Linked DNA regions of Danio rerio. The protein of the gene in region 1 interacts with the protein of each later gene in a pairwise test. Links are inferred from orthologs where the notes say so. Each region holds a gene or a part of one and is shown on either strand. Other genes may lie near its edges. The genes, in order: znrd2 and cct5.

The links.
Region 2: the proteins of znrd2 (region 1) and cct5 interact in binary tests that used the Homo sapiens proteins (3 or more experiments, as listed by UniProt). The two-hybrid records come from large-scale screens. The link is inferred for Danio rerio from reciprocal best matches to the Homo sapiens genes ZNRD2 and CCT5.

The regions. Positions count from the first base shown.
Region 1 is NC_133185.1:31,773,532-31,781,258, reverse strand, and holds the start of znrd2 (protein ZNRD2), read right to left. Parts: upstream 4,661-7,727; 5' UTR 4,592-4,660; coding exon 4,576-4,591; intron 2,928-4,575; coding exon 2,776-2,927; intron 518-2,775; coding exon 433-517; intron 361-432; coding exon 1-360. Other genes in the region: solute carrier family 35 member F4, read right to left, coding at 6,354-6,598, 6,716-6,805. UniProt on the Homo sapiens protein: Might play a role in mitosis. Antigenic molecule. Could be a centromere-associated protein. May induce anti-centromere antibodies.
Region 2 is NC_133199.1:20,771,805-20,779,513, reverse strand, and holds the start of cct5 (T-complex protein 1 subunit epsilon), read right to left. Parts: upstream 4,765-7,709; 5' UTR 4,651-4,764; coding exon 4,546-4,650; intron 3,794-4,545; coding exon 3,733-3,793; intron 3,654-3,732; coding exon 3,489-3,653; intron 1,511-3,488; coding exon 1,312-1,510; intron 1,228-1,311; coding exon 1,035-1,227; intron 951-1,034; coding exon 801-950; intron 1-800. Other genes in the region: mtrr (methionine synthase reductase), read left to right, coding at 6,425-6,568, 6,648-6,801. UniProt on the Homo sapiens protein: Component of the chaperonin-containing T-complex (TRiC), a molecular chaperone complex that assists the folding of actin, tubulin and other proteins upon ATP hydrolysis.

The DNA.
Region 1 (7,727 bases):
CGTGCTGGAGCTCCTGCGTGGCCCATCTGAGCTTGTGAAGCACAGCCTCTTCTGCACTGGACAGGGCTGGGTGGTGATGGAGTGAGCTGCCCGAAGACCCTACAGGAGGTGTCGTCTGGACAGGCGGGTTGGATGGCGGCAAGAAGTTGGAGGCAGGGGTGGGGATGGAAAGAGGGGTTGGCTGTACAGTTGGAGGGGGGCCTCTGAGTCCAGACGCAGCCCCCTCACAGTGCTCCGGCCTGGGCTGGCCAGTGATGGAGAGAGGGGGTTCACTGGAGGAGGCTCCGTTAGATTCGGGAACAGGCTGAGTGGCAAGCTGGCGCTCTCGTACCTGTGACAAGGCTGCTTGAGCATTTAAAGCTGAAAGAGAAGTTGGATAATTTAATGGTGATGAGCAAGAATTTATGTTTAAGGAAGAGGATTTGAATGTACCTGGGTTGTCCTTGTCAACATCGGAGTCCAGCTCTTGACAAGCAACACAGTAATTTTTCTTCTGCTTATCTTGCAGCAGAATCGTCTGCAAATAGATGGAAGTTTTGTTTTGCTTTAAACACTGTAATAAGTAATAACAATTAAAGTCTGTGAGAAAAAATGTACAATGATTATTTTGTTATTCTTTAGGTGAACAATGAATCCATGCTAATGATTTTTGCTTTGGTAGTCTGCATCTGCTTTTGGAGTGGCGGTCCGGCTCTGTTGATGTCAGTTTGACAGCTTCAGTCACAATATTTTTAGCCACGCCCCCCCTTACTGTTAGTTTCCTATGAAAAAATGTTGTGCAAAAAGAGAGCCCCGCCTCTACTCAATATTCCGTAAATATTCAATATTTAATACTATTTTTGTTGTTTGTGTACCATTAGATATTGCCTTACTGCATAGTTTTAACTAAAAGTAACAGTATTTTTTACTGATTAAACATGAAAATCATTGTAATTTTTCATTTAAATGTCTTTTTTTCTAAAATTGATTGATTTATAGATGTTGGATACTCAAAAAAAAATTGTTGTCAGACGAGACCTTGTAAAAATACAAAAGCAAAACAGCTGAATTACAGAAAGGCACTGCAGATAAATGCAAAAATACTAGATGTGGGCCATTAAGACTTCAGTCTTAAAACAAGGTAAACATTATAATGTTAAGGCATAAACGATATTATATCGTATGGCGATAACATTTTTGTCAATAACAATGACTTTTTTTACTTTTACTTTTTTACTCTATATAATCTAAGAGCCAATCAGGTACCAATTGATACTGAAAACGCACACTTCCCGTTAACAGTTGAGCGTGTTTTTAAGCAGTGCTGATTAGCCATTGTGTTGATATTAGGGATGCACCAAATTTACGTCCAGGTTATGCTATTTAATGTACCCTCTTATTTTTGGGGCTTTAGTCATTGTTGGGATACTCTTAAATCCAGAAGCAATAACAACTGAAATCAAAATATATATATATACACATGTATATCATTATTGTTTAATGTGGAAAATAATTAATTGATATTGTATTTTTACCATATCGCCCAGCAATATTGAGGCAGGTTTGTAAAATGTTGATTCATCATTCAAAAGAGGCGAACATGCATTTATTCAGTGCCTTTAAAAAGAAACAAAGTGGAAATGTGACGGGATTATTAAAAACAGGTTATTTTCGTTCAGTTATTTTCATTTTTTTGTTCAGTTATTTTCGGACATCCATGAAACACATTGTATTTTATAGCTTCATGATGAATAAACAGAGTACAGTGTTTATTTGCAACTGTAAACTTTATAAAAGTCTCAAAGCTCTCAATTTTGATCAAGTTAAAATGCATCCCAACTGCTGGCTCGGGAAAGCTGAATCAAATGAATCAATTTTGCAGACTGCATTAAACCATCTTTAAGAAATCAAAGTTTTATCCTAGATTCTGTCCTCTTATTTGACACACAGGTAGATGCAGTAGTTAAATCTTGGTTTTTTTCAGCTGAGATTATCAGCCAAAGTGAAAGGCTTTTTAAAAGGCTTCTTACTGGTACACGCAGGTTTGAACACATTACTCCTATCCCGTGTTTCCTAAATTGTGACCTAGAATTGAGTTTAAAATTTTAATGTCTGTTTTTAAGGTATTAAAAGGCCAGGCTCTGACTTATCTCTCTAATCTTATTAGTTCAAATATCTGCCATATGTTTAAGGTCATCGAACCAGAAAATGCTAGTAGTTCCCAGATCCAAATTGAATAAAAAAAGAAGATTGAGCTTTCTCTGTAGTAAGTCCTAAAGTGTGGAACAGGCTACCTTCGTCCATTAGAAAAGTTTCTATTGAATCTTTGTTCAGAGGGAAACTTAAACTACACCTCCTTGAAATAGCTTTTAAATTGGGAGAAAATTAATCCTATTGTACCTATCTGGTCGCTTGTTATGTATCTATGATGCTGTGTGGTATGTTGGATGTATTCTATGTTGTTTTACTTGTTGCTGTCTATTTTTGATCATTTGCTTTTAGGTTTGTACAGCACAATGGTCAACAACTTAAAAATTTTTTTTTTATTACGCTTTGTAAATAAATAAACTAAACTAATTAAAAACATTATTAAACTTTCAGACATTCTGAACTGAAAATATTGCACGTCATCTTTTGTCATTATCGCAAGTTTTAATATTCAAACATGGCTACAACTTAACAACACAGTACCTCACTGCATATTTAATAATTAAATTAAGGCTCTAGCTTGTATTGCACTAAATAAAACACAGATTTGATTGGAGTCTCCTATGAGTGTATGGTGTTTTCTCTCACCCCGCACAGCTCACAGCACTCGCCCAGCATCTTGTACCCCTTCAGCAGATAGTCTCCCATCAGCTTGCTGATCTTATCCTGCCGCTCCCGGCGAGCCTGAATCACCTTCATCTCTGCTTCAGAGGGAGGCTCCCATTCAAAGTCTTCATCATCTGGATTCAGGAAAACACACACAGAATGCTCTTGTTTATGGACGAATGCTCATTTAATTCACACACCCACTTAAGCACTTTCCAGGTGTTTTAAAACTTTTTCAGTACTTTATAAAGTGTGGAAAATTACATATTTACATACGTCTGCACACCTCATCACATTAATTATATTTAGAAAAAAATCCTTTCTATAAAGATTGGTGGGAGAGAGGTATTTGGTTGAGTGTCCATCTATTAAACAAAGAGGGTGAGGTTCTGAGTTACTGGAAATTTTTGTGAAAAATATAACTTTGAATGTGATCATAAGCAATTCAATAGGGTATTGAAATCTATTCTGAAGGCATTTGTAATAATGGTTAGTACTGTGGCCCCCAATAAAAATGACGTACCTTATTTGCTGATGAATGGAGAAGATTTTATTCAGAGTGTATTCAGATAATAAGCTCTATTATCGAATTAGGGAATATGTTCCTTTCCTTCCCCATACCTCCTCAAAGCTAAAGAAGTACACTTTAAAATATTCAATGATATTTAACCATCTGCAGAGACTGTATATTTATTTTTGACTGTTTATACAGCAGAACCTTCTAGACAAATTCATTTGAGTGGTTAAAAGTTTCTCTCAAGATGTCCTCCCAATTTTCTAAAAATGATATTATCTTTGGTTTATTAGGGGAAGATATTAATATTCAAGTTGTATTGAACAATATTCTAATTTTGGAGAAATTTTATGTTCATAAATGCAAGTGCCTGAAAACAAAACCACTGTTTTGGGTTTTCCAAAAGGAATTTTGGTTATACTGTAAAGCTTTAAAGTTGGTAAAATCAAAATTAGGAAGTTCAGTTTATTGAAAACATTTTAATTAATAGACGACCAGGTAGTTCTTTTTTGAATGTGTTTGTGTGTCTATTCTGTTTAAAGTTGTATTTATTTATATTATAATCTTATTGATTTGATTATTATTTGTGCTCTGTTCTGTAGTTGTTAATTAAATTTGTGCTATATGCAAAAAAAAAAAAAAAACACTTCATCACATTATATCAGAAGCTATTCTAGAGTATAGTACAGTAAATTATAGTATAATTAATATACTATGTGAAAAATTTCGTTTTTAATTTTATTTTTTTAGCTTTAATAAAAGGAAAATATGTGATAGCAGGTTTGATCCAACCCCAACATTTAGTTATGCTGTCATCCATTTACATATCTTTATTATAATTAATTTATTCATACTATTATTACCAGCTTAGTAAGATAAATTATTATGAAAGGAACAATCGCATTTTAAAGTACTTTATCCATAATCTAAGTACATTTTAAACCTTGAAACACAAGAGTAAAATTCCAGCATTTAAAGTATTTTCAGCACCCGTGCGATTCCTGTACGTGGAACTTTACGAGTCAATAATAGGCAAAGACACAGAGAAAGCTCGATATTTTAAATGAAATAAAAGCCACATGCCAGTACAGAAATGCAGACAGTGAGGGGCTAACCTGCTAACGTAACATGATGTTATTTTAGCGCAGCTGCACGTGTACTAACGTTACTATAGCACGACTGGAGGTTAGTGATTAAGGGTTATTTCGGTACTAAATTGGGGAGTTTAACAAGAGATTTGTCTAAATGTGAGTTTATTGACATTTTACCTGCGTTAAGGGCCATGCTTTCTTCATCAGCCGCCTCACAACACAGATAACGTTTCCTGCTCGAAACTTCAGCGGTGAAATGTGGAAGGTGCTATGAAAACTGACTGGCGCCATCTAGCGAGCTGAATGTAGGTCCTATTGCTCAGTTTTTTCCCCTTCATTCTGAAAATCTCAGGATTATTTGTTTCGTTCGGAAAAAAAAATCTGGATTTAGACACATAAAAAAATACATAGTTTATGCTGGAAAATAAAGAATGTTCTTCACTATCTCTTGGTTTCCAGTCAACTAAATATTCTAACTACCTGCTTGATTTGTTTAACTGATAATATGCAGTTACGCCTCTCTCTAGCCCTAGACATCTGGGGTCTTAACAATGCAGAAAATAACATTTTATAATGAAAGTGGATTTTGAAAAAAATTCAAAAGGCTCCTAAACAATAAAATCACTCCTTCTGCACAACTCTATAATTTATTTTTAAACATTACCATCACTGCATCAGGTTAATATTAGCCTAATTAATACATAGTTAATGTGAATAAAGAAAATCACTTTGATTTCATAGTTTACTTTGACCAATAGGTGATGCTGTTACCAAACTAGTGTAGTGTGGCGTTGTCAGTCTTGCAAAGATACAGCCTCAGGTGTTGGTGTTGCCAGCATGGTTTGGAAATGTGTAGTTCACACAGTCTTATGGTGAGAAAAAGTAAAGTTTGGGATTTTCATCAGGGCTCAAACTGTGCAAATCATCACTGGTTATGGTTAACACACAACAGTTGTGGACAAATAGCATTAGCTTTGTCAGCTATATTACCGTATGTGAAAAACGGTATGTGTGCTATAGTATTACACCCAAACCAGTTGACAGATGAGAATACTAAGAAGTTCGCACATGATGGACACTTCACTACCTTATGAGCCCACAGAAGAGGGTTTATTAATGGAAAAATACAAAATGACTGAAAACATATGACGAATGATAACTTTTCTTAATTCGTTGCAAAAATCTAATTGTCCTCACTATTTAGTATTTACTTATCCTCAAGTGGTTATAAACCTTTCTGAGTTTCTTGACAACAAAATAAGTAATTTTGAAGAAAACTAAAAACCCGTAGCCATTGACTTCCACAGCAAGCAAATTCCATAGTGTCTTACTACACAAATCATTGCAATTTCTCATATTAAACAGGTTTAAACAAGTGAAGGGAGAGTAAATGATGACAGACTTCTCATTTTTAGGTGAACTATGCTTTGAAGCCAAGAAATTAGAGGAGACAATAATTACATTTTTATTAGTTCTTACAGTTTCAAAGGTATTAGCACAAACGTTCATGCAAATTTGAACAGCACTAGAGGGATTAAGGTTGGAGACTTCAAAACTGATAATGTTCCTTCATTCACTTTCCTTCGGCTTAATCCCTGTATTTATCAGGGGTCGCCACAGCGGAATGAACTGTCAACTATTCCAGTGTGTTTTACGCAGCAGATGCCCTTCCAGCCACAACCCAGTACTCAGAAATTGGATAATATTAAAACTTCATTCCTACAGATTTTATAAAAAAAAAATATTTAAAAATATTTTATAAGTCACCAGCACTCATGTAGGTTTCAACAAAGTATTCAAATATGGTAAAACCATTAAAAACATACTAGGAACAGTTCCTAAATAAACCATTCATATCTTAGAAGGACAGGTTAAAATCCAAAGAACATTGAAAAGTCTTTGTTTTCTTCAAGGATTTAATGAAGCCAAAAAAATCCTGCATTTTTAAGGCTCAGCTAGAGAGTCACTACGGCTGGTTTGGCTTTTGTTCGTAAAGTCCCAGCAGTGTCCACCATAGATTCCTCTCCAACAATACTGTCCTCTCGCCAGTTTCCACGCCACAGTGCGCTGAGCCAGCGGAAAGTGCTCTCATCCCAGTTTTCTGGAAGCTGCAGCATCAGATATCCAGCTGAGATGATGCCGGCGGCCGCTGCTCGCACATGGCTGATCTGCAGAGTTAACGTCACTAAGCCATCCACAGCTTATGAGAAAGAGAAGAAAGCGCTATATTCAATTATCAGACAATAAATGATGTTCTCTTTGTGTTTAGCAAGATAATTAAAATGTTTACTTGTCAATTTATTTCCATGAAAAATACCTGCACTTGCTGGGATTGTCAAGAGAATTCCCAGGGAAATTAAACTGGGGTACGTAAACATTTCTCCCAGATTTACCAGCAGATTGAAAACTTAAATAAAAACATAAAGACAAAGTTTGTTAAAGAGAACAACTAAAAATCTGATCACTACAAATGATGACAAATAACATTAATAAAGCATAGAGTTATATAGAGGTAAATGATTTTATTGTATACTATTGTTTAACACTCAGTGCCAATCAAAAACTGCACATAAATGTATAGTTAAAGTCAAAATTATTCACCCTCCAGTGAATTTTTTCTTCTTCAAACATTTCCCAAATTATATTTAACAGAGCAAGAACTTTTACAGTTTTTACAATATTTCCTTGAACATTTTTTTTCTACTGGAGAAAGACTTTTGTTATTTCGGCTATAATAAAAACAGTTTTTAATTTCTTAAAAAACATTTAAGGTTAATACAGGCTTTCTGCAGGTTTCAACAAGTCAAATTTAAGACTTTTTAAGACCCTTTTAAGACCGTTTTGAATGAAATTTTTAGACTTATACAGGGCTAAACACTAAAGTTTTTTTTTGTAATGGTCTGGTTGTTGTTGCTTATTTGAATTTGTCAAAACAAGAAAACTCTAGTTGTACATACTTTTTATTTTTTTATTGTTATTTATTTTTAAAAGACAAGTTTAACCATTGTTAATAGTTTATTTATTACGGACACAATTACATGAATGATCAAAAATATATATTTGTGGCTATTTGTCTGAATGGATTGAGTATAACTTCTATTCAACCCAATAATTTTCGGCTATATAAAACCTTGCCTATTCCTTGCCTGTTTATGAATATTACGTCTGCTTCCCCTTACTTTTGTACATAGTTTTTGTGTAACTGGAAAATCATGTAAAGGGACATATAGCTCTGTTATTATCATGTGGAATGTAATAATTGTTTTTAGGTTTCTTTCCCTGATTAGAGAATTACATTTTGACAATTTGCTGTAAAAATTTCTGTTGTC
Region 2 (7,709 bases), on another chromosome or scaffold:
AATTAGCATTTGTCATTTTTAAAAAGTACTTCCATACACTTTAACACACTTTATTAATGTTACATTTAAATGTATAGATTTTTTTTTTTTACATATATTGCTTAACACGTTTCATCTTTGACCTTAATAATAATAATAATAATAATAATAATTTGTAATAAAGAATGAAACAATTACATCCATATAAAATAAAAAATAATAATTTAATCAATATATCTGCATAAAGCCTGGTTTATACTTCTGCGTCAAGTGACCAGCGTAACCCACGGCGCATGCAATGTGCGTAGTCGTGCATTTATACTTCTGCGCGCTGTCTCTGTTGGTCAGCATTAACACTTCCGAAACGCTAGTTGGCAGTGAGGTGTTAATGTTCCTCTGTCTTAAGTTTCTTCGCTGGAGTTTTGCTTTTCCTGAACACTTCCTGTATGTACAAGTGGCTGTACTCATTTTGAGGCAGGAACCGGCGGACGTGCAACAACTTTAACTATGAGGTAAACACAAAACAACTTTCCATCTGGAGCTCCTTCATGGGACTCCACACTTGTAAACAATCGCTCCACTGGGCTCGCGCCGCTCGCATGGCTCTCAGTCCTGCCCAGACTCGTCAGCTTTACCAAGCCGACCAATCACAAAGCTTGCGATACGCGTCGATGCGACGTGTAGTTACATTTTTTGAGAGGCGCACGTCAGCGACGCCGACGGCCAGGGCTATGCGTTAACACCGAGCATACACATGCGTTTGAGGCAGAAGTATAAATCAGCCTTAAGAACCGCAAAACAAAAGCAGGCAATATACAAACCTGTCGGATCATTTCCTGAAACTTGTCCTTCTCGTACTTCTGCAGAGCTTTATAATCCTCCACTGATGTCACATCAAGCTTATGCTTGGTTTTGGGCTTGGGAGGCTCAAATGGGCAGGTGAGGATGGCAATTTTGGTGTCTTTGAGCACCTGGAAGAATGCACTAATAAATAAATAACCTAAAATATTAGAACCAGAGCATGCATGAAATGAACATTAACACTAAACACAAACCTTGGGCATCTGAGGGTGACTGAACTCTTTGTCCACAATGACACCTTTGATGAGCTGAGTGTCCTCTAGTTTACCACCAACCTTTCCTTCCACTTTAATGAGCTCAAAGTCCACATCCTTCCTCTCCATGTCTGCCACTGTCAGAATGGCATTGACAGCAATCTCTGCCATCTGTCTGTGGCACCGGTTGATCCTATAAACCAGGAAAAAATATTAATAATGAATATTCTCAGTAATTATCTGGTCAAATCAAACACGTAGTAACAGAAAAACTCACACTTTGGATCCTAGTGTGGTCATGGCTGTCTGAACGAGAGATTCTGTGTTGTTAGGATCCACAGGGAAACTATCACCGATTTTGTCGAGCTGTTCGATGGCGATCTTTGCGGCCTGATCATAACCATCTGCAATTCTGATGGGGTGAATGCCTCGGTCTAACAGCTGCTCTGCCTGCTCCAGAAGAGCTCCGGCCAGAACTACAGGACAAAACAAACATTACAGTAACTCAATAAGCAAGAAAATAAGACTTCAATCTGCTTGTCAATCGTGACGTATGAAATGTTTCCGGGTCCAAGCCACTACACGTTAGAATTGACAAAATATTTGTTTATGACCACTTTTTCAGTCATATTGAAAATAAAAGTGAATTTTATATGAAATCACGGTGTACACAACGGTCTCTGGACATGCTGCATCACAAACACCAATATTTAACAATTTACAAAAAATGTATTACTTTCTGATCATCGAATATTAGGCATGGATGTATTTATATATACACACTGCGATTTAGATTTTTTTTTAAAGTAAAAAATCACGTGAAAGTAAAGCCGCTTCACGTAAAGTCACACTTAACAAGCGGACAAACATAGTACATAAACACTTTTTACATTTAGGAATATGAACTATAGCCTACAGGTAGGCCTGCATGAAATCAACATGTCAAGCATTACAATAGTAAAAGTGTGATACAGCTTTAAATTGTTCTTTCTCTCTACATTTAAATGTACCCTGCTCAATTTTATTGTTTTTATTTTTTTTTTTTTACCATTATTTAAGATTTATTTCTTGTCACATCAGTAACAGTAATAAAAGTAACATATTACATATTGACAACTACATGCAGCAATAAGAGAAAACAAAACATTAAATATGATTTTTTCATTCTCCACTATATGGAGTAAGATTACAATATTATTTCACCAGTGGTTTTTATCAATTACTTGACAATTTAATTCAAACAGCAAAACAGTACGTCTTGCGTATAAACCTACATACACCTACTTATACATTCAATTTAGCCTTGTACTAATTTAATTACTAAAGTCCTTCATGCTATAACGAGTAAACACAAAACAAGTAAGAATAATTCATTAAAAAATAATTAGGGTGACATTTATATCTTAGAACATTTTCCCCCATTAAAGTGTCCAGTCTAGAAAAATGTTTAGCAGTTTTAGAAGCCTGACAAGAAATGATTAACTGTATATGCTTTACTATAATATTCAGATATGAAGTCAGAATCATTAGCCCCCCTTTGAATTTTTCTTTTTTTTTTCTATTTACTAAATGATGAACAGAGCAAGGAAATTTTCAGTGTTTGATATTTTTTTCTTTTGGAGAAAGTCATGTTTGATTTATTTCGGCTAGGATAAAAACAGTTTTTAATTAAAAAAAAAATATTTTAAGGTCAATATTATTAGCCCCTTAAAGCTATATTTTGTTTTAATACTCTACAGAACAAACCATCATTATACACTAACTTGCTTAATTACCCTAACCTGCCTAGTTAACCTAATTAACCAAGTTAAGCATTTAAATGTCACTTTAAGCTGTACAGAAGTGTCTTGAAAAATATCTAGTATAATATTATTTACTGTCATCATGGCAAAGATAAAATAAATCCGTTATTAGAATTGAGTTATTAAAACTATTGTTTAGAAATGTGTTAGAGATTTGTTAGAAATTGTGGTGTTAGAAATTTTATCTCTGTTAAACAAAAATTGGGCAAAAAAATAAACAGGGGGGCTAATAATTCAGGGGAACTAATAATTCTGACTTCAGCTGTATATTGTACATAAAGTATAAATATTGTAAATAGCATCCATATATCATATTAAAGTAAAGCATATATATCATACTTAGATCTGTAAAAGGACCTTTTATTATTAGATTTTGTATAAGCTGGGTCATTTCCCATAGCATATCATCTCCAGAACAGTATGCACACATGCTCATTTTTGTAATGGCACATAAAATGTACACACAGCTTGGAAAAGAGGATTTTTAAATTTTTTCTAATGTGCATTTCAATGTATTTGTAAGGCTGTACATTTATCCATGTTTATATACGAGCAAATCAATGCATTTAAACAAAGACAGAAAGAAAATGCTCTTGCTAGTGTTGTGGTTGTGTTTTAAAAGGGGAGAAGAAGAATATCAAGCTAAGCTCACCAACAACACCAGTGGTTCCATCTCCAATTTCATCATCTTGAGACTTGGAGAGCTCAACCATGAGCTTGGCAATCTGATGGTCCACATCCATCATGCTGAGGATCGTCGCACCATCATTGGTCACGGTCACCTCACCATCCTTATCCACCATCATCTTGTCAAGTCCTGTAAAGAACATTTACCAGCATTAAAAAAAACAGCATGAAATAAACTAGGAAGAGTACATGCAAAATTAAAAACATACCATTTGGACCTAGCGATGTTCTCAGGGTGTTAGCAACTGCTTTTGCTGCAAGAATGTGAGACTGAAGAGAACAGAAATAACATTGATGTCAGTAGATGCCACGCCAAGCTTATGCTTGGTTTTGGGCTTGGGAGGCTCAAATGGGTAGGCAAGAATGGCAATTTACGGTTTTAAGGGAAAGATAATGTGCATTTCTGGTAGAATATCTTATATAAATTTAATGTATATGTATGTATGTATATATAAACTAAAAATTTGTTAGTAAGGCGTGTCTCAAATAACAACCCAATCCTCTTTATAGGATTTTTGTCAAATAATAGAACTGAAACTATCATTATAAAACAAGGCAAGACACTGCAAGCCCCCAAAAAACACAACAAAAACATGCACCTGTCCGTTTAGAAAAGTTTGGCTTTTTGCAATTCTTTATGCAATCAAACAATTGGGGGAAGTAGAGTGATAGCTATCATCATTACTTATTTATTAACAACATTCAACTGAAGTATATTGCCACAAATAAAATGTGATGAAGACATGTCTGATGAATGAATGAAGGCATTGCGCATTATGACTCGACGTCTTTAGACTAGACTAGAGGAAGCACATGGACCATCCCTTGACATGCGCACATTGTTGATCACGTTAGACAAATAAATGTGCAATAACTGAATGCATTCTTAACATGTCAGACTGCAGAAGTACGTTTTCATAAAGAATCAATCTACAGTATACAGTAAATGCGGTATTCTGGATTACAGATATGATTAAAATCTCCGTTATAGCCCATTAGCCCGTTAGCTTTTGTAACGTTACCTTCAGTGCTTCCAGGCCAGTCAAGCGAGATTTCTTGTCCTGGTCCTTTATGATGATGAAAGGCCTTCCATATTCATCGAAGGCGAGAGTCCCAAGCGCGGACATGTTTAATTTCCACCCCAAAGAAATGCACAGTTATGAAAAGTGATGTTATACTAGAGAATTTAATCCTCTAGCTGCGCACCTCACCGCGCGGATCTGCCGGCTAGTTCTGGAAGAATCTCGGGGAGGGACGGACCAAACCAAGTTGACAATGTTAAAACATCCACATTTTTGTACATTACATTACCATTTAATCCCTAATTAAATAACAATATTAAACATTTAAGACAATTATGAAGGAGAAAAAGCAATTAACGAATCTTTAAATAATTTTTTTAAATTGAAGCATATTAATGGTTTATTCCATTCTCGCGATAACGACAACAAATAACGCGAGTGCGGGTACAGATTTATAATTCATGCAGATTGACTAACAAATAGACGTTACAAAATTGATTTGTGTATGTGCACACGTACAACTTGTGTATTTGAGAAAGGCCATGTGCTCGTCGTTGGTAACGTAATTTCCGATTACCTGTTCCTCCCGTTCATGCTTCTGACAGCACACCAGTGTGGATTTCAGTATGTTACATGACCGAAGAGGCTGTTTGTGTTGTTATTTGCAAAAGCAAGGTGACTTTTTTCTCTCTCCATCATTTACGTTTTACATTTGTGACCGACATTTGTTTTTGAAGTGTCTTTGTGAGGTCTACATGACTTTAAAGTTAGACTTGGTGAAGCTACAGCTTGTTTTGATATCTTTTTGGATATCTCTTATAAAACTTATGCAACATTCACATGATCAGGGTTGCTTGATTTCCGTTTGCACCTGTATATTATAATGATTCTTTTTACATTACAAACGTACACAGATTAGGTCATATTTAAAGTAAATTGTTTCATTATATCATACAGTACATACGTGTAATAAACTAAAAGAACTTCTCACAATCACAAAATGTAAATACAGAGGTTCCTTTAAAAAAACGAAGCTCATAAATAAACATTTCAATGAAAAAAAAGGTTAATTGAACATAAATGATCATATGCTATGCAACCTTCTTTTGGAATTTATTTATGTTTTGAATAATATATTTTATTGAATAATAATTATTAATAATTTTTAATAATTAACTAATTATTGTTTAAAAGCATATAAATAATACTTGTGTTTAGTATGTTAAATTATGATAATGTTCTAAAAATAATAAACCCTCATCAAGTAATGGCATATTTGCTTTTCCACATTTGCCCTCTACATTTAGGATTGGTTTTTGTTGATAAACGTGCCAGTATGCTTATTGACAAACCATTTCTACAAGTAACATGCATTTGAAAGTGGTTTATGCCTGTCAAATTAATTTACTTGTTTTAAAAACCTTTTTAGTACTGTTTATTTTAGAAATTCTGTAGATATGAATGTGGACAGAGTTTGAGCAATCATGAGATTTATAAAGTGATTAAGTAAAAATATACTTCATTAAATTTACTTGATTTCAGTTGACTAAATATGGTTGATATCTGCAGTTATGCTTTTTTTTTTTTAATTATTCATCAAATAAAAACTAGAAATGTATAAAAACAGATATATAAATCAGATTTTTAATGTGGATCATTTTGTGTTTTTCAATTCATTTCTCAATTCCTAAATTCATCAATAATAATAATGCAGTAAAAAGTATTTTATTTTTTACTTTATTAATGACAGTTTTATTATGAGAGTTCTGACTTTTATAAAACAGCACTTATTCTGGTTAATAATCACATATAGGTTTTTAATGCATTATGATGTCACATGCAGAAATATTTTTCCACATCTTTCTCAAGCTTTTATAATATGCCGTGTGAAGCTGCCGCTCACTTCTTAATTCTGTACGGATCTCAGCGTGGTCAGGCTCAGTCTATAGCAGAAGAGATCTGCCAACAAGCCGCTGAGCATGGATTTACAGCAGACATCAGCTGTCTGAGCAAGCATGACAAGGTATGCTGCTTCTTCACAGCAATTTTCAGGGATCTTGCACAAATCAGAGTTGGCTGATGTTGATCTTGAACATTCACAGTACAACCTAGACAGTGAAAGCCGCCCAGTCGTTTTTGTGGTTTCCACTACCGGTGATGGTGACCCTCCAGACACCGCTCTGAAGTTTGTAAGAAAAATCAAGAATAAATCTCTGCCACACGACCATCTTTCTCATCTGCGGTATGCACTGTTAGGTAAGCTGAACTTGCTGTTGGGTAAGAGTGAGCTCCACCTATGAGCAATTAGGTTGCTGCACACTGTAGCCAAAATGTGGCCCAAATCAGATTTTTTTTGTGCTCATGTTACTCAAATCTACTCCGATCATGACACACTGAACACCACAAACCAAATGGATGATGGAAAGTGATCTTTGAAATTTCGATTTGTGACACTTTCACATGTGGGATTTTTTGCAATGCGAATGCAGTCTAAATGCAGGGTATCTGTGGGATCTTAAATAGTCTTTATACGTCTTAAATTTCAAAAACAAAATTTTAGGCCTTAAAAAGTCTTAAATTTACAAAAATTTTGTGTTGTAGGTCTAAAATTATTTTAAACAGGTCTTAATTTTAAAAGTTGTTGATATAATGTTACCCAGTCGGGCCAAAACCCATCCATCCATCCATCCATCCATCCATCCATCCATCCATCTATCTATCTATCGATTTCTAAACAGCTGTTAGACATTTTGCAGAAAGTAAAGGAAGGCATAAAACTTGTGTTTTATAACAGAAACACATTGCAGTTGGTTGAATAGGAGTTCAATTAATTTGGACAAAAAGCAAACAAATATATATTTTTTGATTATTTGTGTAGTTCTTCATAATAAATATACCTTTAACAATGTTAAAATTGTTATAAAAAAAAGAAACGTGCTGAAAAAAGTCTATACAACTAGAATTTTTTTAGTTTTGACACATTAAAATATGTGGTTAAGAAATGACTATGGCGATGCAGTGACGCAGTAGGTAGTGCTGTATCCTCACAGCAAGAAGTTCGCTGGTTCAAGCCTAGGTTGGGTCAGTTGGTGTTTCTGTGCGGAGTTTGCATGTTCTCTCTGCGTTCGTGTGGGTTTCCTCAGGGTGTTCAGTTTCTCCTACAG